4 linked regions of the Tamandua tetradactyla genome follow. The main gene of each other region encodes a partner of the protein of the gene in region 2 in a complex. Links are inferred from orthologs where the notes say so. Each region holds a gene or a part of one and is shown on either strand. Other genes may lie near its edges.

The links.
Region 1: TPRKB (region 2) and LAGE3 share a complex: the UniProt entries of both Homo sapiens proteins name them as parts of the EKC/KEOPS complex. The link is inferred for Tamandua tetradactyla from reciprocal best matches to the Homo sapiens genes TPRKB and LAGE3.
Region 3: TPRKB (region 2) and GON7 share a complex: the UniProt entries of both Homo sapiens proteins name them as parts of the EKC/KEOPS complex. The link is inferred for Tamandua tetradactyla from reciprocal best matches to the Homo sapiens genes TPRKB and GON7.
Region 4: TPRKB (region 2) and OSGEP share a complex: the UniProt entries of both Homo sapiens proteins name them as parts of the EKC/KEOPS complex. The link is inferred for Tamandua tetradactyla from reciprocal best matches to the Homo sapiens genes TPRKB and OSGEP.

What each region holds. Positions count from the first base shown.
Region 1 is NC_135353.1:6,783,739-6,790,986, reverse strand, and holds LAGE3 (EKC/KEOPS complex subunit LAGE3), read left to right. Parts: upstream 1-4,696; coding exon 4,697-4,869; intron 4,870-5,292; coding exon 5,293-5,421; intron 5,422-5,673; coding exon 5,674-5,788; 3' UTR 5,789-6,739; downstream 6,740-7,248. UniProt on the Homo sapiens protein: Component of the EKC/KEOPS complex that is required for the formation of a threonylcarbamoyl group on adenosine at position 37 (t(6)A37) in tRNAs that read codons beginning with adenine.
Region 2 is NC_135343.1:47,395,026-47,402,041, forward strand, and holds the start of TPRKB (EKC/KEOPS complex subunit TPRKB), read right to left. Parts: upstream 3,012-7,016; 5' UTR 2,922-3,011; exon of another isoform or gene 2,889-2,921; intron 1-2,888. UniProt on the Homo sapiens protein: Component of the EKC/KEOPS complex that is required for the formation of a threonylcarbamoyl group on adenosine at position 37 (t(6)A37) in tRNAs that read codons beginning with adenine.
Region 3 is NC_135346.1:53,342,487-53,350,000, forward strand, and holds the start of GON7 (EKC/KEOPS complex subunit GON7), read right to left. Parts: upstream 3,020-7,514; coding exon 3,001-3,019; intron 1-3,000. UniProt on the Homo sapiens protein: Component of the EKC/KEOPS complex that is required for the formation of a threonylcarbamoyl group on adenosine at position 37 (t(6)A37) in tRNAs that read codons beginning with adenine.
Region 4 is NC_135340.1:36,231,851-36,239,488, reverse strand, and holds the start of OSGEP (tRNA N6-adenosine threonylcarbamoyltransferase), read right to left. Parts: upstream 3,022-7,638; 5' UTR 2,780-3,021; exon of another isoform or gene 2,499-2,779; 5' UTR 2,491-2,498; coding exon 2,376-2,490; intron 1,236-2,375; coding exon 1,116-1,235; intron 938-1,115; coding exon 762-937; intron 1-761. Other genes in the region: DNA repair nuclease/redox regulator APEX1, read left to right, coding at 3,475-3,532, 3,709-3,896, 4,459-4,651, 4,782-5,299; PIP4P1 (type 1 phosphatidylinositol 4,5-bisphosphate 4-phosphatase), read right to left, coding at 6,373-6,516, 7,429-7,519, 7,624-7,638. UniProt on the Homo sapiens protein: Component of the EKC/KEOPS complex that is required for the formation of a threonylcarbamoyl group on adenosine at position 37 (t(6)A37) in tRNAs that read codons beginning with adenine.

The sequences.
Region 1 (7,248 bases), on a different chromosome or scaffold from region 2:
TCTGTGTGGTCCTACCAAAACTGTCCATTCAGACCCCTTTGTTTGCCTTTGCAAACGTCCGAAATTGTCAAGTCTCAGCTTCCAAAAGTCCTAGTTCCATTTACAGGACATATATGTGATGACTCTTTAATGGAAATTTTGATAATAAGGTCTAGATTGTATGTAGGTATGAAGGGAATTTTTAAAATACAACAAAAATTAAGCTACAAACAGCATTAGAACTTTGTCTATTTTTAAATTTTAAAATATGCTGATATGCCTTAAACTAGCTATAGATCATTGTCATTTTGCTGTTTGAAAATAGCCGATATGTTTTCTAAAACTTGTGTAATCTACTTTCAATGTTAATGCAGAATTATCATATATGTAAGCTGCATGTTAGACCACTTGTTTTTTTTAAGAAAACTAAAATAATTGTATTGATGTGAGGCATATCACTTTTTCAAGTATGAAAGTAATCACTCAGCAACCATGCTTGGCAATTTGGTGTCTGTTAAGATAGGAGAGTAATGGACAGGTAATCTATGCATATATCAACAGTGCCAAGACATCAAGAGGGGGGAATATATTTTTACCCAAACATTAAAACAAAAAAACAAGAGTCCCTGGGGGTCAATATATCCTAAAGTAATTCTGGCAGAGAATAAAAAGAAAATTTTGCAAACTCCTCTTGGGGGACTGGGGAGAAAGGAGAAAATATTATACTTTCCCATCTGGGGAATTCCTGATATTCTCACAAGCAGTGGGGACAACCAATTCAACAGGCTGAGCCCTCAATCTTGGGGCTTGGCCCTATGAAGCATATTCCTGCAAAGGACAAGCTAAGCCTACTGAGAATTATGCTGAAAAATCATCCCAAGAGAGCCTCTATTGTTGCTCTGATGTGGCCTCTCTCTCTCTAAGTCAACTTGGCAGATGAACCCACTATCCTGCCCTCTACGTGACTCCCAGGGGTGTAAATCTCCCTGGCAAAGTGGGACAGAGCTCCCAGGATGAGCTGGGACCTGGCTTCATGGGACTGAGAAAGCCTTGTTGACCAAAACAGGGAAGAGAGAACTGAGACAAAGTTTCCACGGCTAAGCAATTTCAAACAGAGTTGAGAGGTTATCCTGGAGGTTATTCTTATGAGTTATATAGACATCCCTTTTTAGTTTATGGTGCATTGGAGTAGCTAGAGGGAAGTACCTGAAAGTGTTGAATTGTGTTCCGGTAGTCTTGATTTTTTTTTCCAATTTATTTACATATTGATGTAATGGTATACAGCAGAGTTGAATAGTTGTGATAGAGAATACACAGCCCACGAAGCCTAAATTATTTACTATCTAGACTTTACAGAAAAAAATTGCTGACCCATTATAGAGTTCTCTTCATAACCCTATATGAGGATTTCACTATGACATATTTACAGAAGCTGAATTGCTGACTTATAAGGTGAGAGAATTTGCAACTTTTCCCCTATGTAGCCCAATTGGCCTCCAGTTGATTATTCCAATTGACACTACCACAAGCAATGTATGAGAATTATTGTCGATTTACTCACTAACACTTGATATTATCATACTCTTAAATTTTTGCCAATCTGCTTGGTGTGAAATGGCATCTTTTTTGAAATATTTTTATTGAGAAATTTTCACACGCATACATTCCATATATGGTGTACAATCAATGGCTCACAATATCATCACATAGTTTTGTACTCATCACCATAATCATTTTTTAGAACATTTGCATCACTCTAGAAAAAGAAAAATAAAGTCATCATACCATACCCCTTACCCCTCCTTCTCATTGACCACTAGTATCTCCAACTACCCAATTTATTGTACCCTTTGTACCCTCTATTATTTATTTTTATCCATATTTTTTTTTACTCATCTGCCCATACCCTGGATAAAAGGAGCATCACACACAAGGTTTTTGCAATCACAGAGTCCCATTGTAAAAGTTATATCTTTATACAGTCATCTTCAAGAATCAAGGCTACTGGAATACAGCTCAAGTTTCAAGTACTTCCCTCCAGCCACTCCAATACACCACAAACTAAGAAAGGGTTATCTATATAATGCATAAGAATAGCCGCCAGGATAACCTCTTGGCTCTGTTTGAAATCTCTCAGCATCTGAAGCACTTCCCAAAATATAAATTTTGCACTAAATAAACATCTCTCCCTTTAGTCTCACACAGAAGTTGAAGTTTTAACATATGGCTGATATCATCCTTTACCCTGTATTCTGAGTTACCTTAGTCCTAACAAGATCAGCTCAAAGTCTGGTCACTTTTTCAACTTTTTAAACAGTTCTTGCGTGGGGTACTGCAAGTAGCCTTGATTCCTGAAGACGATTGTATAACCATATAGCCTTTACCATGTGACCATGTGATTGTGAAAAACTTGTATTTGATGCTCCTTTTATCTAGGGTATGGACAGATGAGTTAAAAAAAGGATAATAAATAATAGGGGGGGATAGAGGGTAAAAAATGGGTGGATTGAAATACTGGAGATCAGTGAGAGGGAGGGGTAAGAGGTATGGAATGTATGAATTCTTTTTTTTTTTCCTTCTTTATTTCTTTTTCTGGAGTGGCGTAAATGTTCTAAAAATGATCATGGTGAAGAATACACAACTATGTGATGATATTGTGAGCCACTGATTGTATAATATAATTGGACTGTACGTGTGGATATTTCTCAATAAAAATATTTTTTAAATAAAAATTAAATTACATTTTTAAAAAAGAGTGCCTGGGGGGATTGTATTAGATTAGTGAGCACGAAGGCTGCTCAGAGGTGACACTGAAGCTGATATCCTAAGGACAAGGAGCCAGCCATGGGACAGTTTGGAGACAATTTTCCAAACAGAAGTGTAAGGGCAAGGGGCAGTGTGTTCATTTGCAAGCTGCCAGAATGCAATATGCCAGAACTGGAATGACTTTTAAAAAGGGGAATTTAATGCGTTGCAAGTTTAAGAAAGTGAAAGTATCCAAATTCAGGCAACAACAAGAGGTTACCCTCACTCAAGAAAGGCCAATGAGTCAGGAACAGCTCTGTCAGCTGGGAAGTCACATGGCTGGCATCTGCTGGTCCCTTGCTCCTGAGCTCCTGTTGCTTTCAGCCTCTGTTCCTGTGGGGTTTCCTCACTTTGCTTCTCTGGGGCTGGCTTTCATCTCTTGGCTTCCCTTGGCTCTCTCCAGGTTCTGGCTTGCTTCACATCTCATGGTGATGTCTGCTGGACTCCAAGCATCTCCTAACATCTATATGTCTGCCCACCACGTTTCTGCATCTGTGTCACCTCTGCTGGCAAATTTCTGTTGGCTCTGAGGCTTCCATCTTTCTTGCTCTCTCTCTCTCCAAAATGTTTCCTCTTTTAAAGGATTCCAGTAAACTAATCTAGACAGAACTGGAACAGATGGAGTCACATTTCCCTCTATTCAAAAGTCATCCCCAGAACTGGATGTGTCCCATCTCTGTGGAGATAATCTAATCCAATATTACCAACTACAGTTTTGAATCAGGATTAAAAGAAACTGCTGCTCCCACAAGACTGAATCAGGAATAAAATATGGCTTTTCTGGGGTACATAATATTTTCAATCCGGCACGGGCAGGAACAGGTCAACCTCCGTCAGGGTCAGAGCAAGGGCCCAGGAGGCTGCGGAGACTTTAGGAGTAGGCAAGTAGGGAAAGAGGCTGGAGAAGGAGCTGGGAGTCACATCACCTTGGACTTTTATAAGCCCCATCAAAGGGTTTGGATTTGATTCCTAGGGCAATGGGAAATCGTTTTAGGGTTTTAAGCAGGGATATGACAGGATGTGATTCACATTAAAAAGTAAAACCTCATTCTACTGTGCGGAGAATAGGAGGTAGGACCAACAAGGGAAGAGATGGCGACTGGCACTGGCATCTCTCAGTGGGGAGGAGACGAGTGGGCTGATTGCAGATCTATTTTTTAGAGAGATCCAACGGGATATGCCAATACAGCTTGGCTGCAGGTCCTTCGTTTTGATCGCAAGGAGGAAAACAGAAAACTACCACTTACAATCACCATTGGAAAGTTCTTGTCAGTCTAAGTATTCTGTCACTCTGTCATAGAAGCTAACTGTAAAAAAAATTGGGAGGCCAAAAATCACGAAAAGCAAACTAAAATCACCCATAAATCCCATCAGGCTGCGAAAATGGCTGTTCACACTTTGCTGTAGTTTTCCAGGTTTCTACGCGGATATATGGTCATTTGCTACACTGGGATTATATTGATGCTTGCTCTGCCTTCCGCTTTTGACTTCGGGGTATCAGCCAGATGCCCGCGACCACCACTTCAGCTCAGGCCCCTGGGCAGGCCTCACGTCCCCGCGGCCCTCTCGACCACCCATCTCGTCGGTTCGCTGGCCCCCTTTAAGGCCCCCTGTGGTGTCCCCACATACTTCGGCGACGGGGACGGGATGCACGACGTCAACCTCTGGGGGGGACCCACCGGACAGCCCCCCACACATCGCGCCATCCGCGCCACGCAAAGCCCCGCAGGGCAGCCGCACCCGGGCTGAGAGCGCGGCCCGACCCCGGCCCGGCGCCGGGCAGGAGCCTGTCTGCGCAGGCGCCCAGAGATGATGTCACGGGGCAGGGGGCGGGGCCTGGCGCTGGAGCCGCAGCATGAGGCGCAGGGGGAGGGGGAGAGGGAGGGGGAGGCGGCGGCGGCGGCGGGCGACCATGCAGGCGGAAGACGCAGGCGCAAGTGGCCCCGGGGGCCGCGAGGGCGCGGGCTCCTCGGGGGGCCGCCCGGTCGGTGACGCGTCTCGGGTCGCGCGGACACCGCACGCCCCAGGGCCGGGTGGAGACGCCACGCCCGCGGTCACCGGGCCGGGAAGCCCAGTACACCGATTGTATCCTAGCCGACGGGGCGGGCCTGGGATGGGGATGGGGCGTGAGCGGCAGGGACGGCACGGGGTCCTGGGGGGTGGGTGACGGGGGGAAGGACAGGGGGGCGGGAGGCGGGGAGAAGGGAAGGAGAGCAGGGGTTTAACGCGGGAGGCGACGGAAAGGGGAGCCTGGGGTAGGGGGGGAGGACGGCGAAACGGGGGGGAGGGATCGAAAAGGGGAGCCGCTTGGGTCGGTGGACGCCGGGGGAGTTGGGGCCCCAGGGGAGGAGGGGAAGGCCTGAGGCGGGTGGGGGCGGGAGAAGCAGGCTCAATCGGGGTGAACTAATGGGGTGACCGGGCCGGGCGCCAGTTCTGGCCTTGAGCGGCAGGAGGCGAGGCGCAGGCTAAGTCAGTGGAGGATGGTGCCTTAACCGGATCCCCTGCCAGCTCCCTCAGTGTCCCTTTCCCGTCCCGCAGGGAGGCGGAGATCGCCTGCGGCTCCCTGGCCCCGGATGCCGAACCCCACCGGGAGGCGATTGAGAAGCAGCTCACTGTGGCTGGCAGCGCCCTGGCCGTGTCAGTTCTAGAAGGGGCGCGGGTGGGAGCTGCTCCTTAGGGCCAGTCCCTGCCTTGGGGTGCTGTAATGGGGTCAGAGAGATCCCCTCAGGGGAAGTCTGAGGAAGGGGGCGTGGCGCAGTGGGCCTGTCCCCACCTGAGGGGGTGCTCTGATGGAGCCACTAAATGGTCAGGTGGCAGGGGGTCTGAGGGTGCCGGGTGGAAGGTGAAGTTGCCACCTTGAACTGGACTTGCCTTTTCCATCCCTCACAGCCAGTGGACTGCCGGTGACCCCCGCCTCCTCCGAATTTCCATCCTGAACTTTCTGGACCAGCTTTCCCTGGTGGTGCGGACAATGCAGCGCTTCGGGCCCCCCGTTTCACGCTAGGCCTGGGGCCTGACCTGGTGTCCCCTCCTGGGCAGTATGCCCTTCCCCCCGGGGCCTTGATTCCTAGAGTAGTTGCCACTTTACCATAAGGGCCTGATTTGGGGGGCATACTGGCCCTAGGATGCTGGGGTCCCACTTGGTTTATTTGGTGCTTAAATGTTTTCACCAACAGAAAATAAAAACAAGCTACTCTTTCCTGTCACAACAGTATTTTTTTTCAGCTGCTGAACCTGCAGATTTTCATGCCTTTGGTCTGGGATTGCAACGAGGGAAGGGTCTGCGATGCAGATATTCAAGTATAATTTTTGGCCAAGTCTAGTGTTAAATTTATTTTCCTGATTTTTTTTTTTTCATTTAACGTGAACTTTTCTGCTTCCTAAAAATCCTGCGAAAACCTGTTCTGTGTATCAAAGAAGTATTTTAATGAAATTGTTGCCCACTTAAATCATTTCCAATTTTCCCTATGATATGTAACGATTCAGTAGGATGCTTATATATGAGTTTTTGCATGAATAGTTATTTCCTTACGATAGATTAAAAAAAAAAAAAACCCAGGAGGTAGAATTACTGAGTTAAATATTTTCTATTTATGGTACAAAATTGTTGTCAAGAAATTGTGCCCTTCTGGTTTCTCCACATCCTTTGTCACCAGAAGTCTGCTTAATGCCAAAATAAAATACTTAGTTCGTATGAGAAGAGCAAACAGCCCAGAAACACTAAATTAGGATTTTTTTGTGGCTTACTGGCCTTGCTTCAGATCAGTGAAGAAAAGTGTTAGGACAATTCCTTAAGGGTTGGGGGAAGGAGCTCAGATCCCTCTAAAATACCTGCATTCTACAACCTTGCTAAATACACTTAATAATTTTAGTGGCTCTTTTGTAGATTTCATAGGATTTTCTACATAAGCAATCACATTTTCCTTCAATAAAGGCATTTTTACTCCCTTTCCAATCCAGATGTCTTTTGTTGATTGATGTCTTTCCTCATTGAGGCTTGGCGTTTCCTGCTTCTTTGCATGCCTAGTAATTTTGGATTGGATGCCAAACATCATGTATTTTACCTTGGGTGCTGGATATTTTTGCATTTCTAAACGTATTCCATGAACTTTTTTCTGGGATGCCAAGGTGCTTGGAAAAAGTTTTAACCTTTCCATTCCTGCTTGTAGATTTGCTCGGTGGTACGAGAGCTGCTTTTAGGGAAAGTGATGGTGAAAATGATGATGAATCTCACCTGAGTGTGGCAGGTGTAGTTGCTACAGTGAGGATATGATTCTCTCCTTCTCTCTCTCCACCTCTTCCTTTTTTAATTCATCATTTTTAGATATTAGCCATTGATGGACAGATGCCGATTAAGCTTTTTGACTCCACCATCTGCTCTGCTTCCTCTCAATGTGGTTGTGGTTCTATTACATTCTATCCATTTCTTAGGATTTCTTTTTTCCCTAAGATTAAAAACTGCCT
Region 2 (7,016 bases):
AATGCACACACTTATTAAATGCATTTTTTGGTACTGACACCTTACTGATGAATAAGGCACACTCTTACCCTAAAAAGCCTTGGGGATGGTGGGGGAGACAGGCACACAGACAAGTGAGGGGTACGCTGTGTGAGGGCATTCATGGTTTGGTGCTTATGTTCCTCCCGTTTTTCTTTGATATCATCTTTATTACAGAAAAAGCCTAGCATATACAAAAGTAGAAGAGTAGAATGAATCTCCTGGCATCCATTACCCAGGCTTCTTCTGGTTGCTTTAATAACCTATGTTCTCCTTCTCCTAAGGCCTTTGCACATGCTGTTCTCTTTGCCTGGAACATTCTCTTCCCACCTCCCCATCCATCTCCTTCGTTCAGCTCCTCCAGTTTTCAGATGAGTGGCTGAGATATTGAACTGGAAAAGTAACTTCTGAGGGGGAGGAAAGTTCATCTTGCTTTTGTTCTGTCAGTTAGTCCAGTTCAGTCCCTTGAAACTCAGTGTGTGTTCCAGACCAGCATTGCCAGGGCTCCAATCAGACCTGCTGATCATAATCTGCATTTCACAATCTTAAGAAGCCCTGTTTAGAATAAAAAAGCTCCTCTGGCTTGTTTCTAATGAAAACAGAATGTGAAGCTTATTATGCCCAACAGGACTAATATCAGTACATTAACTTTAATACTGGGCAGTTAGGGATTCTTCTAAATGCAGTATGATGGCCAGCATCCCATTTGTTTTTTTGTTGCAAGCCACAGGTCTCTAGCTACACCTTAAGCAGAGGAAAGTCAGGGGTCTCTGATGACTGATACTTTTCATTGCTTTATAAGGGTTTAATATCCAAAATATATAAAGAACTCTTACAACTCAACAATAAAAAGGCAAACAGCTCAGTTAAGAAAAAATTGGGCAAAGAATTTGAATAGACATTTCTCCAAATATATACAAATGCCTAATAAGAATATGAAAAGATACTCAACATCATTAACTATTAAGGAAATGTACATCAAAACTACAATGAGATTCTACTTCACACCAACAAGGATGGCTCTTATTTAAAAAATAACGTGTTGCTGTAGCAGGATTGTTTCCCGTTCTTTCACAGCCAATTTTTTTTTTTTTTAACATGGGCAGGCACCGGGAATCGAACCCGGGTCCTCTGGCATGGCAGGCAAGCGCCCTTGCCTGCTGAGCCATCGTGGCCCTCCCTGTTTCCTGTTCTTGATAGGATTGTAAAATGGTCCAGCTGCTGTGGAAAACAGTTTGGAAGTTCCCCAGAAAGTTAAACATAGAATTATCATATAACCCAGCAATTCTACTTCTAGGTCTATCCAAAAGAATTGAAAACAGGCACTGAAACAGATAAAAGAACACCAATATCATAGCAGGATGCCAATAGGTAGAAATAACCTAAGAGTTCACTAACAGAAGAATGGATAAACAAAATGGTGTCTATCCATATAATGGAATATTATTCAACTATAAAAAGAAATGTGTGATACATGGTACAACATGGACGAATTTTGAAGACATTATGTCAACTGAAATACGCCAGACACCAGAGGACAAAAATTAAATTTCTCTTATTTGACATACTTAGAAGAAGCACATTCTGAGACAGAATAGTGATTACCAGGGTGAGGTAAGAGGGAAAGGGAGAGTTATTGCTTAAAAGCTATGAGTTTCTGTTTAGAATGATGAAAATATTCTGGAAATATTGGTGTTAACACAATATTGCCAATGTACTTAATGTCACAGAATTGTGCTCTTAAAAACGGTTACAATGTTTTTTATGTTATGTGTATTTTACAATAAAAAGCAAAAAACAACCTGGGTATTGAAACATACAATCAATGTGGTCTCCACCATACAAAACGAAAAGATACACGCAGGAAAAAAAAAAACACACGAAGGAAACACACCAAAAGATGGCCATGTTGGGTACTGGAATTATAGGTGGCATTTACTCTCCTCTATATAGAAGAAACCATTTATGTTCCGAATTTTCTACAGTGAACATATAAAATATAATGAGTACATGGAATCAGAGGGTTAAAAACGTTCTGTGGTTTTTGTTTTTACACCAGGGGGAAAAAGAACCCTTCGGAAATCGCAAAATAGTCTGACCTTATTTACCGTAATTCAGTAATTTAGACCAGAAACAGAATCATCGTTGGCCACCTCGTTGTCAATAAGTCCCATATCTACTCCATAAAGTTCTGCCAATTTTAGCTCTTATGTATCAATTTTAATCCGTCCACTGTCACCCACTCTTGGTTTCCTTCTCTCATCTGCAAGCAGTACCTTCCCAAGAATGGTCTCTTCTTATAATCCAACCTGCGTCCGGCAGTCAAAGTACGCTTTCAAAGCGAATTCAAATCTTGTCGTTCTGCTACTCCCGTGTCAAATTCCCAAGTTTACGTCACGGTGCTCCACACTCTATAACATAGACCCGACCCGCCACTTTGCTTCCAAGCAAACCTCTCCCCTGGCCACGACCCTGACGCTACAGCCGCACGGGCCTTCTCAGCTTCAAGCCACCACGCTTTCTCCGGACTCTCGGTCTTCCCTCGCCTCTTGCTAGACTCACTCCTCCCTGCCTTCAAACTCGCTTTGAGTCCTTTCCCCATAGTGCCCAGAGTCCGGAACTGGGTTCTTAATTACACGAGCCCCTTCTTAGCCCACACCCCAACTTTAAAGAATTTCGCACTTTGTTTTATTTCTTCTCCCTAGAACGTAAGCTAATGAAAGGTAGGAGCGCTTTCGGGTGCGCTTCGGGGGCCTGGCGGCGGCAGGTACCCCAACACTGGATGAGGGAGCCAACAAGCGGCCTCCTCTGAAAAACAGAGCTGCTCCAAGTTGTATCGGGCTCCCCTGCTCCCGCACCCTCAGACCTACCCTCCCGCCTGCGCCGACGCAGGGAGGACTCACGGTAGGGTCTTCGGTGCGTCTGGAAAGATCGCCTCCTCCGAAACAAATCCTTAACTTCCGGAAGTCCGGCCGCGGCGGCGCCCAATCCCCGCCCTCCGCCAATCTGTCTCCGGGTAAGCCTGTTTACGGCGAGGCTCTGTTTTAGGATCCAGGCAGAAGGGGGTTCCTGGCCCCTGACCCGCCAGCGCCTCGGCTAATCCTTCCTCCCCAGAGTGTCTCGTTGGCGGTCTCAAGGGAGAACCGGGGCTCGTCCATGTCTTTCGGTAAGGAAGGCAGAAAGGATCCGTAAGCCCAGAAGCAGAGGTCTGGGTTGGAGTCCCGATTTTGACTCCAACCTTCCTTGGGCTTTGAATGTAATGTACTCAGTTTGATCCAGTGTAAAGGAAAGTATTGACCAAGGTGAGCTCTCCATTCGTTTCCACTGCTGAAAATTCCACCGTTCTTTTTCTGGGCAGGCGGGACTCGTTTTGCTTCTGGCTGTGGGAGCGGAGGATTCCCTGGTGAGGACCTCTCGGGATGCTTCGCCTAGTAAACTTATGACAGTACATTGAAGAAATCAAGCTCTCCCGTCGTCTTGCAGGCTCAGAAATCTCATTTGCCATCCCTGAAAATATCAGCCCCTTTAGAGGAGGTAGGTAACCCCGGTGTAGGCTGTAGAGAATTATTTTCAGTGTCGTTTCGTGGTGGAAAATCTGAACCCTTGAAGAGTGGATGTAAGCTTTACTAACAACCAAAAGCCATGTAAGGCCAGACTTAGTTGTGAAATGTATGATAAGTCGGGAGGTTACCCTGGAGGTTATTCTTATGCATTATATAGATATCCCTTTTTAGTTTATGGTGTATTGGAGTTGCAGGAGGTAAGTACCTGAAACTGTAGAGCTGTGTTCCAGTAGTCTTGATTCTTGAAGAGGATTGTAAAACGCATAACTTTTACGATGTGACTGTGCGATTATGAAAGCCTTGTGCCTGATGCTTTTGTCCGGGTATGAACAGATGAGTAAAAAAATATTATTAAAAATAAATAAATAATGGGGGGGTAAGGGGTAAAATAAATTGGGTAGATGGAATTAGTAGTGGTCAGTGAGAGGGAGGGGTAAGGGGGATGGGATGTATGGGTTTTTTCTTTTTATTTCTTTTTCTGGAGTGATGCAAATGTCTAAAAAATGATCATGGTGATGAATACACAACTGTATGAAGATATTGTGAGCCACTGATTTTATGCCATGTATGAACTGTATGTGTGTGAAGATGTCAATAAAAATATTTTAAATAAATAAATACACACCAAAAATAATCTGATAAAAGATTAGGTGTGGAGTTAGATAAAAGAAAAAATTCCTTTTCTAGTATGGCTTCCAAAGGAATTCCAAACCAATCCTCAGTAAGGCCTTCAAGGGCTTTGGCTCTATGGCCTCCATCCTCTTCTCTCACCTCATCTCCTCTTCCCAAACCTAGTGCCAAATTACGTTACAAGTTTATCTCCAAACACCACTGATGGTTCCTGGTCTTTGTCTTTCATTTCTGACTTACTGATCAGGGCCTGTAAAGATCCTACCTATCCTTTAAGGAACAATTCACCAAATAAAATGTCACCTCAGGGAGTTATCCTGGATTCTACCTCTAAATGTCTTTTTAATGGCATTTCCCCCCTTTTTGTTTTATTTATGTCTTTAATGTCTCCTCTGCCAAGTGATGATTCTTCCTCGTCTGTTTATCTTCTTGGGTGTGTACACATTTAGGCCTTACCCACAAGGGGGCATTACATACTTAATGAATGAAGGTGGACATATATACCAGTGTTTCACCTTCAGCTTTTATTCTGCATGCTCTGCTGGCTTGAACTCATTCCTCTAGCCCTTCAATTATCAGCCATAAGCTGATGGTTCCTACTGAGCCCCAGGCATGCATTCCCAGCTGTTCATAGGACATCACCAAGATGTCCTCTAGGCATCTCTACATATCTCAAAATGAATGTATTTCCCCCTACCCAAATCTTTCTCTCCCTTTACCCCATCTCAGGTTATGGCATCACACATGAAACTATCCAGATATGCAACTACAAACCTCACTTACAGCTTTTGCTATCCCACTCTTACCTCCCAAATCCACTTCACCACCAAATTCTGAAGTGTCTTGAATTTGGCCCCATCATTCCATGTGTTTATTGATGAGTGGATTTTCCCGCCTCCACTTTAGGCCTTCATCACTTCTTACCTAGGTTATTACCCTGTTATGTTGTGGTAAACATGATAGCCAATCTGCATGATTTCTAATCCTGGCTCCACCACTTACTACCTGACCCTGGGAAAATTACTTAAACCTTTCTGTGTCTTGACTATAAAATAGGGAAAAAATCCCTTAGAAGTTTTTGTGTGTGTGATTTTTATTGAAAGTAAAAAAATAAGTACAGGGATCAAAATGTACACCTCAATAAATTTTTACAAAGTATATACACCTCTGCAATCAGCATCCAAATCAAGAAAAAGAAGATTGCAAAAATTCCAGACGCTCCCTTGTCCCATTCCAGCTCCTAACCTCATTGAGTTTTGGAGGATTAAATGAGTTAATGTAAATAAAACACTTAGAACTCTGCCTGGTACATAGTAAGCACTCAGCAAGCATTAGCTATTATTGTTATTTCATCAGCCTCTCTTTGTTGTGTCTGCCTTCAGTTTATTCTCCATACTGCACATATTTAATTTTTTTGCTCTTTGATTTCCGAGATTGAAGACTACCAGAGAAGACAGTCTCTGCTATCTTTGGGGATGTTGCAATCTAAGTAGATTCAAAATGATACACAATAATATATCCTCTGTGAGTTCTTGTAGTAGTCAGGGTTCTCTAGGGAAGCAGAACCAAGAGGAGAAATCTATAAATATGAGATTTTATAAAAGTGTCTCAGGCAACTGTGGGACTGCATGAGTCCAAGTTCTGTAGGGCAAGCCTCGAGCTGGCAAGTCCAATGAAGATCTTCAATGAATTCCCCACGGGAGGCTGGCTGGCTGAAGTGGAAAGTGAGATTCTCTGTTCTGACTTCTCCTTTAAAGCCTTCAACTGATTAAATTAAATGTCCTTCTGGAAGACACACCTTAGCCACCTGTTGCTATCAGCCATAGATGCAATCAACATGCTGATGAATTAAGTCCATGAAATGTCCTCACAGCAACAGATAGGCCAGTCCTTGCTTGACCAGAAAACTAGGCACCATCACCTGGCCAAGTTGACACATGAACCTAACCATCAGAGTGTTTATGACATATTTTGCATGTATAACTTCTTGCAAGTAGTGGGGACAACCAAAGCAATAGACCGAGCCCTCAATCTTGGGGTTTATTCCTATGAAACTTATCCCCACAAAGGATAGGCTAAGCCTACTTAAAATTGGGCCTAAGAGTCATCCCCAGAGAACCTCTTTTGTTGCTCAAGTGCGGCCTCTCTCTCTCAGCCAACATGGCAAGTGAACTCACTGCCCTCCCCCTCTCTACATGGGACATAACTACCAGGGGTGTAAACCTCCCTGGCAACGTGGGACAGAAATCCTAGAATGAGCTGGGACTCAGCATCAAGGGATTGAGAAAAATTTCTCAACTGAAAGGGTGAAGAGAAAAATGAGACAACATAAATTGTCAGTGGCTGAGAGGTTTCTTTTTTTTTTTTTTTTTACATGGGCAGGCATCGGGAATCGAACCTGGGTCTCTGGCATGTCAGGTGAGAACTCTGCCACTGAGCCACCATTGCCCACCCTGCCTGAGAGATTTCAAACAGAGTTGAGAGGTTATCTTGGAGGTTATTCTTATGCATTATATAGATATCCCTTTTCAGGTTATGGTGTATTTGAGGGGCTAAAGGGAAGTACCTGAAACTGTAGAGCTGTTCTCCAGTAGCCTTGTTTCTTGAAGATGATTGTATAAAGATAGAACATTTACACTGTGACTGTGTGATTGTGAGAACCTGTGTCTGATGTTCCCTTTATCTAGGATATGGACAGATGAGTAAAAAATATGAATAAAAAATAAACAAATAATGGGGGAACAGAGGTTAAAATATATTGGGTAGATGGAAATACTAGTGGTCAATGAGAGGGAGGGGTAAGGG
Region 3 (7,514 bases), on a different chromosome or scaffold from region 2:
TGCACTGCCATGCAATGGGAAAGGCAAGGACCCAAGGATCGTCGTCAGTAGCCAGCTCCAGAACACCATAGTCCTTAGCAAGAAAGCATCACCTTCGGGTGGGCCACGGTGGCTCAGCAGGTAAGAATGCTTGCCTGCTAAGCCCGAGGACCTGGGTTTGATTCCCAGTGCCTGCCCATGTAAAAATAAATAAATAAGTAAATGGTTAAAAAGAAAACATTAATAGGAAGCCAGAGTATAGGTTCAAAGAAAGCATCACCTTCTTGATAACTAGATTCTGGACTTCTCCTAGCCTTAAAACCCTGAGGCAATAAATTCCCATTATTTAAATCAAACCATTATACGATATTTGTTTTTAGCAGCTAGGAAACTAAGACTGGGAAAAGAGAACAAACATCCATCCAAGTGTCCATAGCCAAAACCTAAAATTCTTAGATTCTTCCCTCTCCCACTCCTCTAACCAATCCCTAAACTCATAAATACTACCACCTATATCTCTTTTAAACCCACCCCCACACACATCCCCTCCCAGCATCCCTACTGTCAATATCTTGGTGCATCTTCATCACTGCTCGCTTGAACTAACTGGTCTTTCTGCCTTCCATCACTTCAATTCATACTGTACACATCCACCAAAGCTACCTTCCTAAACTACGGATTTGCTTATGTCACTCTTTCTATATCAAGAACAGGAGCAAAGCCCAACTCTGCAAGTGAAATCACTGCCCTCCCCCCTACATGGGACATGACATCCAGGGGTGAAAGTCTCCCTGGTGACATGGGAGAGGACTCCCAGGGATGAATCCAGACCTGGCACTGTGGGATCAACAATTCCATCCTGACCAAATGGGGGAAATGAAGTGTAATTAATAAAGTATCAGTGGCAGAGAGAGTTCAAATACAGCCTCTCTCAAATAGTCGAGAGGCTACTCTGGGAGGTTGCTCTTACACAAGCTTCCGGTAGACCTTATTATCTATCATAACCTGCCAATCCTAAAGAACACCTAGGGCAATATATAAGATTCCTCAAGGGTTCCAGGCACTAGAGAAACCTGACAGAAACCTATAACCTCCAGATGGGTCCCTAGTCCAGGTAAGTCCTGAAACCTAGCCCAGCCTCTCCAGAACATCAGATAGTTTCATCTTCCTACCCCATATTCGTGGCAGACCCTATCAATATCAAAAATTTAGAATTGCCATAACCCAAACAACCACAATGAGAGGTATGGAAAGATCAAAGGTGATGGTGGAATTATACATAGAAGATAGGACTTAAATGAATATGAATGTTGAATCATCAAATTGATATCTCTTTTATCTCCAGTATTTTAGAGCAACTAGAAGTAAAAACCTAAAATTGTGAAATTGTAACCCATGTCAAAGTCTGAAATATATTCTACAGCTAATTGGGGTGCTGTGCTTTGAAATTTATAGCTTTTTTGCATATATGTTATTGGTCACAAAAAAAGAAGGAAAAAAAGTCAATTGTGATGACAAAAAAAAAAGTATTTAAACCCTCTAGCCTCCTATATTCCGCAGCAGCTAGAAGGAAAAATATGAGAGGACCGTATGGTAGCCCATGACAAACTCTGGGATCTATCCTGTAATCACGTTTTAAAGAGTGCTTTGAAAACTATTGCTCTTTTATTTCTTTGCTTTGTATATGTTATACAATACAACAAAAAAACATTTAAAACATAAATAAATAAATAAATAAATGGGGGGGAGAGAACAGGAGCAAGAACAAGTCCCAAAGTAATGTAAACTAAAAACAAGTTCCTTTTAATAACATGATAAAATGCAGATAATATGTGTGACCAAATTAAAGATTCTAATGCATGTGTTTTCAGTAGAAAAAGGCTACAAGGAAGCAAGAAAAATACTACTGCCTTCTTAAAGTTGAAAATAAAAACATAATAGATCACAGGACTGATAAAGGCACCTTGAGGAAATCAAAAGAACACCCAGACCTTCAAGTCAAGACTGCATTCTAGCTCACTGTACTGAAGCATCTTAAAAAAGAATGCCTTAATCTAAAAGGGATTTGGAAAACAAAAGCAAGCAGAGAAGCTGAAGGAAGAGGTCTTGCCATAGGGAAAAACCACCCATTTGGATCTCAGTCTCAGTCCATCACATATCTCACTTTTCTGGTTGAGTCCATGCTAACCAAGCCACCTGTTTATAATCTGACCCGATGGGTAAAGTCTACCTACACGAAGAAAGTGTCCATTCATTTGGCTTTACTATTCAGGCCCCTCTGACTCCTATTTCTTATTTTAAAAATAATACTAATAAACTGGCATTTAAATTAGGACCTAGTAAGCAAATATGCCTATCAGCTAACAATATACTAATCATACCAACAGGGCATAAATCACTGCAAATTAACAAACTGGCACTATGGTTTTACATATAAGCCTTGTAAGCATAGTTACTGTGAGTCCAACCCTGGGAGATAAGGAGCTGCTTTTACCATAGTGACCAAATCAGATTTCAAAAGGGGCTAAACCAAGGCCAGACCTTGGATAATGGTACATTCTAAAACTGCACTCTATAATATGTTAGCCACTAATCACATGTGACTATTTAAATTAAGTAAAATTAAAAATTCAACTCCTCAGTCCTGGAGCCACATTTCAAAGTAGGTAACTATGGCTAGTGGCTACCAAATTGAACAGAGCAAATTCTGCACATTTCTATCATCACAGAAAGCTCTATTGGACAGCACTGTTTTGGAAGATAACCTTAAACAAGTCCTGTGAGTCCTCTTGGGAAACAATCTGATAGATAGCCCTGGATGGCTCCCTGAGAAGTAGACTATTTGTTTTCTAAATAAAGTAAGAAATAAATATTCAACAATTATTCCCTTTCCCTTGATTTCTTGAAATCCAAATATATAGTAAGTCTTCAGAATTTCTGCCCCTCTATTACTGGATGATACTCTAAACTAGAGGCAGTATAGCACAGAGGGTAGAAGTACATTCTGTGAATCCAGATTGCCTGGTTCATATTTCGTCATTGTCCGTTACTAGATATGTGACCGTGAAGCATATTATTTCACTAATCTATCTTTCAGTTTCCTCATCTATAAAGTGGGAAAAAAACAGTACCTATCACACCATGTTACTATAAGGATAAAATCAGTTTATACCTATAAAATGCCTAGAATAGTATTCGGTAGATTAAGTGCCCAATAAGTATTAGGTGTTTAATCGTTTACTACTACTACTACTACTACTACTACTATTGCCACTACCACCACTTTGACAGTACTCCAGATGAAAAATGCTCAACTAGGAGAAATATTAGCAAATATTAAGGAATTAAGTTAAAGCAAGGATACAAAGTCAGAATGTTAGTCTATGATATAAAATTTAAGAAGTAAAAAATAATTAAGATTAAAGGAAGGGGGTGAAATGGAAAGATTATTAAATAGCAAGGAAAAGTCATGTTTTCAAGGAAGAGTTGCCAGGAAGTCTTACCAGTAAGGCTAGCAAACCACAAGTCAAAAGAAGTCTACAAAATGAGCTACTATGCTATTAAAATAACCAATAAATACAAAGGAGGAACTGAAAGACACAAGTTCAAGTTCACTACACCAAATTATACTTCCCATGTACTGACACCCAAACGCATTACCTCCCCTGTGCTCCCAAAGTTACCTCCATGTTCACTTGATGAACTGACTGAAGATCTTCTGATTTTTCATTTTAAGCAGAGCACCAGACATTATACCATGTCAACCCCATGCCAAACAATGGCCTAGCATGTGTTCTTCAAGTGGAAACTATTTTAGGTAACTGCATATTGCTCTTGCAGATTGGCAATTTGAAAATCCAGAAGATCAAATACAAACTTCAGCATAGGTAGTAAAATGGAAAGTATGGAGCATTAGGAAAACACAGACCCAAGCTTAAAACTTTACTCAAATGTACGGCCCTGGGCAACTTAACGCTTATGAGATTCATTTCACTCATCTCTAAAATGCAGGTAAAGCATTTTGCCAATTAAATATGAAATACATGTAAAGGGCCTACAACAGTGTCTAGCACATAGCAGATGTTCAATAAATGGGTGCGACATACCATCAGTAAATCTTTCTGAAAAGACCCTCTAAGAGTCCTAAGAATAAAAGCCTACTACTCTATATGCTAGTAGTCTTGATCAGATAGCAACTATAAATTTTGGCCAGATATCAACTATAAATAATGTGCGATAGTGCCTCAAAATTACAAGATGTTTTCCATATTTTATAAGATATTTCCCAAATAAAATATCCATTTTACTGTATCCCCTATTAGACTATGTCTATAAACCATTTGAGCCTACTATAAAAAATAACTTTACTCCTACACTGAAACAAAGTGTGTACCAGCAAATCTGCCACGTACACCTTCACAACTCCACACCCAAACATGAACACTAGGCACAAATATCTAAGATTTTTTCCTTTCCCTATTAACGGAAAAGAAAAGAACTTTTAAGTTTCTTCTCAGTGAGCTAAGTTCCACAAGCATTACGGTACAGGGTAAATGCTTACCTGGAAAATATTTTGTACTTCAGATCCACCAATCCAGAATGAATGGGTGTATTCCCTTTCAGACTAGTCTGAGAAAAGACAGCAGTCAAGCATCTTCCAAGATTCTTTCCGTTTACTGTATCCAGCTTTCTTCAACAAAATCCCAAACATGCACTTCGGCAACTGTTGAAAGACAGAAAGCAATCCATACACCCACCATGGCACCAGCGGCAAAGGACAGCCACCAAGAAATGGAAGGGTCTGAGGAATGGTGGATCTGAGGCACAGAAAAGAAGTTACAATCCCTGAGTCAACCACTTGGCATAAAAGTTCTGTGTTCATATTCCTCACCTCTATGTTGAGAGGACAGGAAAACCTGCACAGCAAAGAATGAAACATCCCTAATATTAACATTTACTCATAATAAATAACATGCAATTTCCAAATGAGAGAAGCTAAAAACTTACCCTACCATCCATATAAACTGTCCCAGACCATTTACCTACAATGAACTTCCTTTTCCATTTCCTAAGAAAACTCCTCCACTATTTCAAAAATAGTTTGTCAGCCAAAATTAATATGGGAGTACTCAAAAGTCTACCAAAAGAGATATTTATGCTATTTAAATAAACACCTAACAAGAAATACTTAATGAAATCTTTTAGTTTGCTACATACAAAACTTCACTTCTACATACTATCCAAATCCTCTCCCCTGAGATGAAATATAGGACATCTTGAAACACCTGATATAATACTCGAGAGAACTTCAGATTCAATAAAGGCCAATCCCCTACAATAGCCAGTCACTAGGTAAACCAGGGAAAATAATAAAAAACACTAATTTTACTAGGAGACACCTTTAAATACATAAACACAGTCCACAATAAATCCACATTTTCTGCCATGCCAAATTTTATAATTCGTAAAATTCTAAACAGTAAGGAAAAGGAAAAAAAGCATTCAACAGACATATAAATTGGAAAATTTTATATAAAAAGACTGTGAACTTATTTACACATTAATTTGCTACTTCCTCTATTACACACTACGGCCAAAATGCCCGGCAATAATTATAATAATGTCTACCTTTACTGAAGACTACTAAAATACTAATTAACCAGGCCCTTTACATCCACTACTCCTATTAATTCTCAAAAGAAAATAGAAGGCAAAAAATAGCTTGCTCAAAGTCCCACATCTACGAGGTGGTAGAGGAGCCCAAAAAGCCCTTTTCACAGATCACTACTACCTCCAAACTCAAGAATCAAGTCAGAAAAGGCACGCATGATTCCTGGGTCAGAAAAAAAAAAACCAAGCTTTTCTCTGAAAGGTCCCAGGTTAATCAACATTGGAATGGAGAACTACAAAAATACCTACTGAAGTACCTATTTCAACCTGGCTGAACTACAACACAACTGAAAAGTTCAGCCATTCTTAAAGAGCTAACTTTGTACATCTGGCTTAAAGTACTTCACTAACAAAGAGCCATGCAATTCTAAGGTCTACAATACTAACGTTACAATGAAACACACTGCAATGATACTTAAGTACTCTTTGTATTTAACAACAAAGATTGTGTCCATGACAATCTAAAATACAACTGAAACCAACTGGGTAATTTTTAAATTCCAAAATTTGGTAATACATAGGCAATGACTAAAGATGCTCTCTGGTTTTTCATGTTGTAGGTAAAGCAACTGAAGTGACTAAAATACCAGCCTATGATGATTGACCTTACCACAACAACTAGATGGTAATATTTAAACACCCGCAACTTCAGCAATCATGTAAGTAAAATCTCAAGCAAATAATGAGTGCTCAAGATTTTCCCATTAAGTGCTATTACTCTGGCGCCTAAGAGTAAACCCAATTTTGCCAAAAGTAGCAAGTGAGCTGTGTCTACTACTTAACTGCTAAAGCAATATTCTACTTTTCAATGGCTAACTTTCTCTTACAGCCAAAATGCAAAACAAGTTATAATAAAATGCAACAACTTAACTAATGGACCCACATCTGGACCTCTTAAATCCTTAGGCCCTTTTCCTGTACTAGTGGCTCTAATTTTCAACCTTCACTTCAAATAAACACTTATGGAATAGCTAATATGTGGTAGGCCTTAAGCTAGAGACACACAAAAATTAATAGATATCCGACTAGGAGTGTCATTTCACAGAACAAAAGATATTTTATTACTGGTTCCCAAGACAGTTAAATGATCTCAATTTAACCCTAAATAAATAAATACTCAAGTTCCTTTTTCTTAAGAGTACAGCCCTCACTTGATTTTTCTTTTTCAACTGCATCGGAGGCTATTAGAAAATGGTTCTCTACATTCATTACACTTACATTTGCACATCTCACAATAAAACTTTTCTTTCAATTTTTCATGTTAGTGTCCACTGTTACTACTTCACAGTTTTCCATTCTGTTAAGGTTTTCATTGTTGACTAACCCTGAAAGGGAATTTCCTAAAAAACTTCCTGCTGACATCACAGAACTCTGCAATCTTTGAGTTTTGTTAAAGAACAATAATACACTATAGGCTAGAGATATCCTACTGGATTACCAGGTCTTCCTGGTCTGCCTCATTTGCCTACAAAGACAAACTTCCTGTTAGGCAATTGTGATCAGCAGAAACTTGATAGAAGGTAACATGCACACACTTGACCAACAGGTTTTGTCCCCCTTTGTCAACTAATTCAGTGAACACAACAATAAAACTCAGGAGGAAATCTCATATCAATATTCACTGCTTATTCTGTTAAGGTTTGAATTCATCAGCTTTGCTAAAACAAGAATAAGAATTCAAAAACCATCATTTCTCAGGTTAAACTAAATCACTCAAATATAACTTACAAGACTCAATGCAAATATCAACTAATGGCCAGTCTTTCCTCCAGGATACTTAAAAGAGGGCTTAGCACAAGTCTAATTATGTTAAATTGGTAATTCTTAGTAATTTTAACAGTACCTCCCAGATTTTCCAATACAAT
Region 4 (7,638 bases), on a different chromosome or scaffold from region 2:
TCAGCGGGCAAGAGTGCTTGCCTGCCGTGCCGGAGGACCCCGGTTCGATTCCCGGCCCCAGCCCATGTAAAAAACAAACAAACAAACAAAATATAATAAAACAAGAAAATGTTTAAAAAAAAAATGTTTCCCTTAAAAAAAAAAAAAAAAAAAAATTCTTCCATCACCCCAAACAGAAACTCTATATCCATTCAGTATTAACTCCCCAATCCCAAACCCACCCTTGGGGCCCCATCATCATTCTTCTGTCTCTACGAATTTGCACATTCTAGTTATTTCACATAATATATCAGAGAACAGACAGTAAAATGCTTTCAAAAGTTATTAATATTTCCACACTCTTAGAATAACAAATTTTATGTATTTACCAATAATACAAAGCAAAACATTCAATTAACCTATAAAAAGAGTTGTGCCCCTTTGTTTTTTTTTACCCCTTTGTTTTAATTGCTAAAATTTATAAAAAGAATAAAGTTCAAATTTACAAAATTCCTTTCATTATTTTGAAGGCATCATTCCTTACCTCCTTCCTTTTACTCACTGGAGATTATTAATATTTACATATTGAAAAGTTATCTAGTGTTCTGATTGTCCTGACCAAATCTGCAACGTCATAAACTCTACCATGGGTTTTTTGGTATACAACATCTTAGATTCAGATGACCTGAGCTTTGTTCTTGCAGTTCTCACTACTTAGGTAGAACTTGGAAGTTGTTGGTATGGTACCTTAGAAATAAGAATGGATAGAATGCTCTAAACACCTGGGTATTTCCTCCACTGACATAGAGTACAGTTGGGCTGGTGGCTCCAGTGATGAGGCGGCCCATCTCAATGTGGCCTATACAGTGGTTCACACCCAGCAATGGCTTATTCCACAGCTGGGCCACAGTACGGGCAACAACTGCCACAGAAGCCAGGGGGGCACCCATGCCTGGACCTAGGGAAGTAGAAATGGGTGTTAAAATCCTATAGAGATTGGGATAAATAGGGGTGGTGGGAATATGGGATGTAAGAGGTAGGGTAGGGGTGGTGACAGTAGAAGCGAGGTACAGGCTGTTTTATCTAGCCAGGCTCCATGTATGGTCTTCCATGGTTAGCTACTCTCTCATTCATACCCTTAGTGTAGGCAACACAGTCAATATCCTGGGAGGTTAATCTGGCTTCCGTTAATGCCTCCTGCAGCAGGTCCAAGACAACGGCTCGGTGATGTCTGGCAGTATCACCTGGGAGGAATCCTAAGAGATGAAAACTAGGTCAGAGATCATAGGGTGTTTTTACTGTAGCAAAGGTAGGCAGAACTACAAAAAAGAAGTTGTATTCATGTAGGAATTAATAGAAAGTGTCCCTTTCATATTCCTTAACCATCCATCTTCTAGGATTTCAGACATACTCTTTCACAGATTCCAGCCTTTATGTAGGCTGCTCAGCTCCTGGAAATGCCTTTCTTCAGAGAACTCCTCCTCAGCTTTCAGGACTCACTGCAAATTTACCTACCCCATAAAGTTTGGTGATGTCCCTCTGTGATGCTACAGAACCCTATACATGATTACACAACTGCATTTAACACACTGTATTTTAACACACCAATTAGAGCATCATCCTTATTTGCAGTTTCCCCCAAATAACCCTAAGTATCTCAAATATTCAGCTATTTTATCAACTTTGTATTTCCAGTGCCCAAGTGCCTCCAACAATGAGTCCTAGACATAAATAAATAAATTTCTAACGAGTAATCTGTTGCACCATCTTTCAGCAAAGCTTTTCAGCTACAAACATATGTGAAGGTGAACTGGGGGATGGTAAGTGAGATCTGAGAATAGTTTGCAAAGAATATTTATGAAAAGTTAAAATGTATCAGGCACTTTCATTCATTTAATTCTCAAGACCCAAAGATACAGGTATTATTCCCATAAGAGGAAGGAATAGAATTCCAAGAACATGAACACTGAACATAAGTATCATAAAGCCAGTCAGTTCTGTCTGACACTTAAGTTGGAAGTCTTTCCACTCATCTCCTCTCCAATTCTAGAATTTTATTGCGTCTGTATTTTACCATTTATAATGCTGTAATGTAAACATTCAGTTTTACGTCAGACTAATCAGAATTATGACATCTATCCAGGAGCCAGCTAATGCTGAGCACATAAAAAGCGCTCAATAAACGCTGACAAAGTCAGAAGATCCAGGTCCGAGTGCCTGTGTCTCTTTTTCACCCACCATCCTGGTATTTTAAGACTGTCACATAATCCCAATGAGCCTCAGATCAAAAGCTGTAGGAAAAGGACAACGCGCCCCACCTGACTGGCGTTTGTGAAGATGGAAGGCGATGTAGTGCGGCAAGTTCGCGGTAAACTCTAAGCCCCCTACTCACTCACCTGTGCCCGGAGGCGTGACGTAAGTCCGTCGCGGGTTCGCTAGCACCGTGCCATCCCGCACCACTCCCACGCCAATCTTGTTCGCGCTGCCTTCAAAACCCAGCACCACCGGCATGGCTGAGCCTGAGAGGAAATGCTGGCAGTGTTCCCGGCGACTTATGGAGCCCCTCAACCGTCCCTGCTGGCCCGCAAATTCCGGAGTGGAGACGAAAAGAACGCGCGCGCGGCTGTTAAAAACACTGTGCACCGCAACACAGCCCAGAGAAATCCCAACTGGACCGCCGAAGCAGCCTTCGACCCCGTCGTCACGGAAACCCGTCAAGGCCCCCCCAAGGCCCTGTCCTCCGAACTGCCAGGAATACTGAGCCGGAATTTGCTCAGCACATTCCTATCCATTCCCCCACCTCTTTTTTCAGCCTAGCCTTCTCCACTTATCGTTTTCTCTTGTACGACGCTGTAATCTTCGGCCAGGGCATCAGAGTGAGTCGTGCACCTGGCAAAGCAATAAACAGCCCGAAAATGGAGGGTTGGGACCTTCAGTCCTCTGGAGAGAAGGGCGGGCGGGCCGCGCTTCACCGTCACGTGCTGCGAGGCAGGCCAATCAGCCGCATCCCTCGGCCACGTGATGCAAATCTCAGACAACGTGACTATGCCAGTTACCCACGTGGGGGCACAGCGTTCTCCATTCTTTGTGCTCGGGTAAGGAGGAGCCTGGCTGTGACCCGAGCAGGTCAGATACCCGGGCGCTCTTTTGCTTTTAAGGTCTTCGCTGGAGGTCTGACCAGCCAGTCTGAGTCAAGGCTCATAATTAAGGTCCTTCATTGACCGGAGGGCATATCTTGCGAGGAGGTGCCTAAGTATTATTAAACTATCTAGTCCGTAGGTGAGGAGCTGGGAGAAGGGCCTGTGATGCAGAGAGGCGGGGAAAGGATTCAGAGATACTGTTGTTAGGAAAGGTGGAGTCTGATGCGGGGACGCCGGCGGGAGAATTCTCTTCTTCACCATCCTTAGCTGGTTACACGATTTCTTTGTGTCTGTAGGCAACGCGGTAGAAATCTTGCTTCGGTGGGTAATTTGCCGAAGGGCTTTCGTTTTAGAGATGCCGAAGCGTGGTAAAAAGGAATCGGTGGCAGAAGATGGAGAAGTGCCGAAGATGGGTAAGAGAACACAACTCCGGGGGGCTGCGGTAGGCTGTCCTCGATGAAGAGGAAGTACGGACCAAGTCATTATATTTTACCAGTGAATTTGAAATCGCGATAGCTGCAAGCTCTCTGAGGGCCTGATCAAAGTGAAAACCACCAACTTTTATCCCTATGTATAACTCATTTTATAGAGCCAGAGACCAAAAAGAGTAAGACGGGGGCAAAGAAAAGCGAAAAAGAGGCAGCAGGAGAGGGGCCAGCCCTGTATGAGGATCCCCCAGATCGGAAAACCTCACCTAGTGGCAAACCTGCCACAATCAAGATCTGCTCTTGGAATGTGGATGGGCTTCGAGCCTGGATTAAGAAGAAAGGTTTAGATGTGAGTGGAATTCAGGGAGGGAAACAAGCATTCTCATGTATTAAATGATGTGGGATCTAATCACCTTTCATTTTAGTGAAGGTTTTATTTTTCCCTTGTTTGTATTTGATTGTGGGGTTGTATAATGGGGGCTTTAGAGTCTTGCCACTTGTGTTTCCTCAGTGTGGAAATTCCCTCATTTCCACAGCAATTGTCTTGTTTCATGTCATCTCTCCCCCAGAATTTTATAAAAGCCTCTTCACTAGACTTCTTCCATTTTGTCTCCAGCATATTCTCCATACCTATAACTAAGTCTTAAAAATCTTAGCTGGCTATGTACAACCTATAGAAAAAAACATGGTCTTTGGTGTAACATCTAAGGCCTTCTCTTATTTTCTCTCTTCTTAGTTGTCTGTTGTTATAATATTTAACATTTTGTAGTTGTTTAAATATTGTACTGCTGAACTATTCAAACTCTATACAAAGGAACTGTCTCACCTGTGAATTCTAAGTACTTAGCATGCAGATTTTCAAAAATGGCTGCTGTATCGATAAACTTTTTCTGCCTTTTTTTGGTTCACAGTGGGTAAAAGAAGAAGCCCCAGATATCCTGTGCCTCCAAGAGACCAAATGTTCAGAGAACAAACTACCCACTGAACTTCAGGACTTGCCTGGATTATCCCATCAGTACTGGTCAGCACCTTCAGACAAGGAAGGCTACAGTGGTGTGGGTCTACTTTCCCGCCAGTGCCCACTCAAAGTTTCTTATGGCATAGGTGAGACACTAGTATCTGAGTGCTTTTAAGCCATTGCTAATACCTCTCTCCTGCCCTAACTCTTGATTCCTTTCATTCTCTACTTTTCCTTTACTTATACTTTATTCTAATTGTTTCATCATTTCTGTAGGTGAGGAAGAACATGATCAGGAAGGTCGTGTGATCGTGGCTGAATTTGATGCATTTGTGCTGGTAACAGCTTATGTACCCAATGCGGGGCGGGGTCTGGTGCGGCTGGAATACCGGCAGCGCTGGGATGAAGCCTTTCGCAAATTCCTAAAGGACTTAGCCTCCCGCAAGCCTCTCGTGCTGTGTGGGGACCTCAATGTGGCTCATGAAGAGATTGACCTTCGCAACCCCAAGGGAAACAAAAAGAATGCTGGCTTCACCCCACAAGAGCGCCAAGGCTTTGGGGATTTGCTGCAGGCTGTGCCATTGGCTGACAGCTTCCGGCACCTCTACCCAAACACTGCCTATGCTTACACTTTTTGGACCTACATGATGAATGCTCGATCCAAGAACGTTGGCTGGCGCCTTGATTACTTTTTGTTGTCCCACTCACTGTTACCTGCATTGTGTGACAGCAAGATCCGTTCCAAGGCCCTGGGCAGTGATCACTGTCCTATCACGCTATTCCTAGCACTGTGACACTTCCTCCTAAAATCACTCAGCCTGGAAAACGAGTCCTCCAAACTAGCATTTCTTTAAAAATATTTCTCGCTAGAGAAATCTGCACTGTATTCCCTTCCTTTCTAAAATAATCTGAATCTTCTATCCAGGCTCATAGTGCAAGATTGAGTAAGCCCAAGGTTTTAGTTTTGTGTGTGTTCTTTTAACATTAAGCAAGTTACTGATATACCCTTTGACCTGTCCATTTGACCTGTCCATGTAAAACTAAATAGCCAAAGTAAAAATAAACAGCCATTGTTTCAGCCTTGCTGTGTTTGTGTTCTACCCCTTTGTAAGGCTACAACTTCTCCTTCTCCCTGTCTTTTCATACATGCAAGTTAACAACTGGAGAGGAGTGGAGTCATGACCTTATTTATTTACAAGCACAGGATGAGTCCTTAACCTCCCCCAAGACAGAGCAATCCTACCCAGCCCAGTTAGATACTACAACTGGAGGGTAAAGAAGGTTGGAAGGATGAATTAAGGGAAATACAGGACTAGGGGACCATACCCCACATTAAATAGTTATATACACCTCAGTTCCCGTGGTTCAGTACAGAGCAGCGGCTGACCATACCCCCACAGGACATGGAATGTGGGGAGAGGAGACTGAGCGTACTGAGGCCAGAGCCAGCCCCTGGTGAAGTGCAATAGCAGCAGCAAGGTCCTAATGGTGCACAAGAGGGAGGGAAACCCCCAGCGCTACCCACCCCCACCCTGCCCTGGAATGTGTAAGGGACAGGAATGGCTCTCAGGGAGCACATAGGAAGGATAAGGCTAGAACCGTCATATTCCAGGTTTAGGGGCAACATTTCACCTACTTCACCCTAAACACAGCAACCCTTGGAGAGCAGATGGCCAGCAGCGGTCTAATCTATCCCTCCAAACCTAAGTGAGGGCCTGGTTCCTTCCTACCTCTCCCCTGGGAAAAGGAAGGCAGCTGCTTGGCTCCACTTAATGGAAGCCCAGGGAGCCTTTTACCCCCAGCTCCCTTTGTAGTGTCACTGTCCCCACCAGGGAGGGGCCAGACAGTCTGTGGGTCATCATGGGGCTCAGGAGAAGTTCTGGACAGGGTGGCTGACCTTCATGCAGGCCCAATAGAGAGCCCGGCCCAAACACAGCACAGCCAGCAGGATGACAAAGGCCCAGCCTGCATAGATACCTCCATATCGTTGTGCATGCTTCCACGTGCCAAACTGATGAAGATAAGAAAAAAGATGAGGTTAGTACTGAGTTCCCACTACTTCCTGAAGAGCCCTAAAAACAGTGACACAAAAACTCAAACTTCATATCTCATTTCCTATCCACACATAACCAACCACCCTTGGGGACCTTTTCTTTTCCCCCCTATTATTTATTTTTATTCCATATGTTCTTCTGGTCTGTTGACAAGATAGATAAAAGGAGCATCAGACACAAGGTTTTCACAATCACACAGTCACATTGTGAAAGCTATATCGTTATACAATCATCAAGACACATGGCTACTGGAACACAGCTCTACATTTTCAGGCAGTTCCCTCCAGCCTCTCCATTACATCTTGAATAACAAGGTGATATCTACTTAAGGATAACCTCTTGAATCTGTGTGAAATCTTTTAGCCATTGATACTTTGTCTCATTTCACTCTTCCCCCCCTTTTGGTCGAGAATGTTTTCTCAATCCCTTGATGCTGAGTCTCAGCTCATTCTAGGGTTTTTCTCAATACCTTGGGGACCTTTTTAAAGGTTAGGCTGCTCAGCCCCTTCTAAGCAGGAACATACTCATATACCATCTCAAACAGACATCTATCAGTTTTTCTTAATGTCTCACGATTGAGCCAGATTTCCTAATAGCAACTCTTAATTCAAGTCACTTCTTCATTTTTCTGTCCTCTGCAGAGAGAGAATGTTTTTGCTTTTCTTTTAACTTTTTTACTTCTATAGTAACAGTGAAGACTATATCAGTTGCCTTCAACTTCAGCTCCTATATGTGTTAGAAAAAAAACAAACAAAAACTCCTCAGTTTCTTGAACCTTTTTTTGGGGTGCCATTTCTCAAATCTTAGGAGAAGAGGCTGAGGAAGAGATAACCAGGAAGAATGAAAGAGGCTGGGTCATGATTACTCACAGCAAGGCCAGTGGCAGTGACTGCCAAGAGTAAGCCAAGCAAGAAGCAGCAGATACATCTCTTTCGTGGATATCTCCGCCCAATAGAAGACCTAAAGGGAGACAAACAGGAACAGATACTTGTGATGACTCCACAGTTTTTATTTCACACATTATCCTATTACCAGCTAAATAATGCCACTTTCTAATCACTTACACTTTCCTGCAGTGA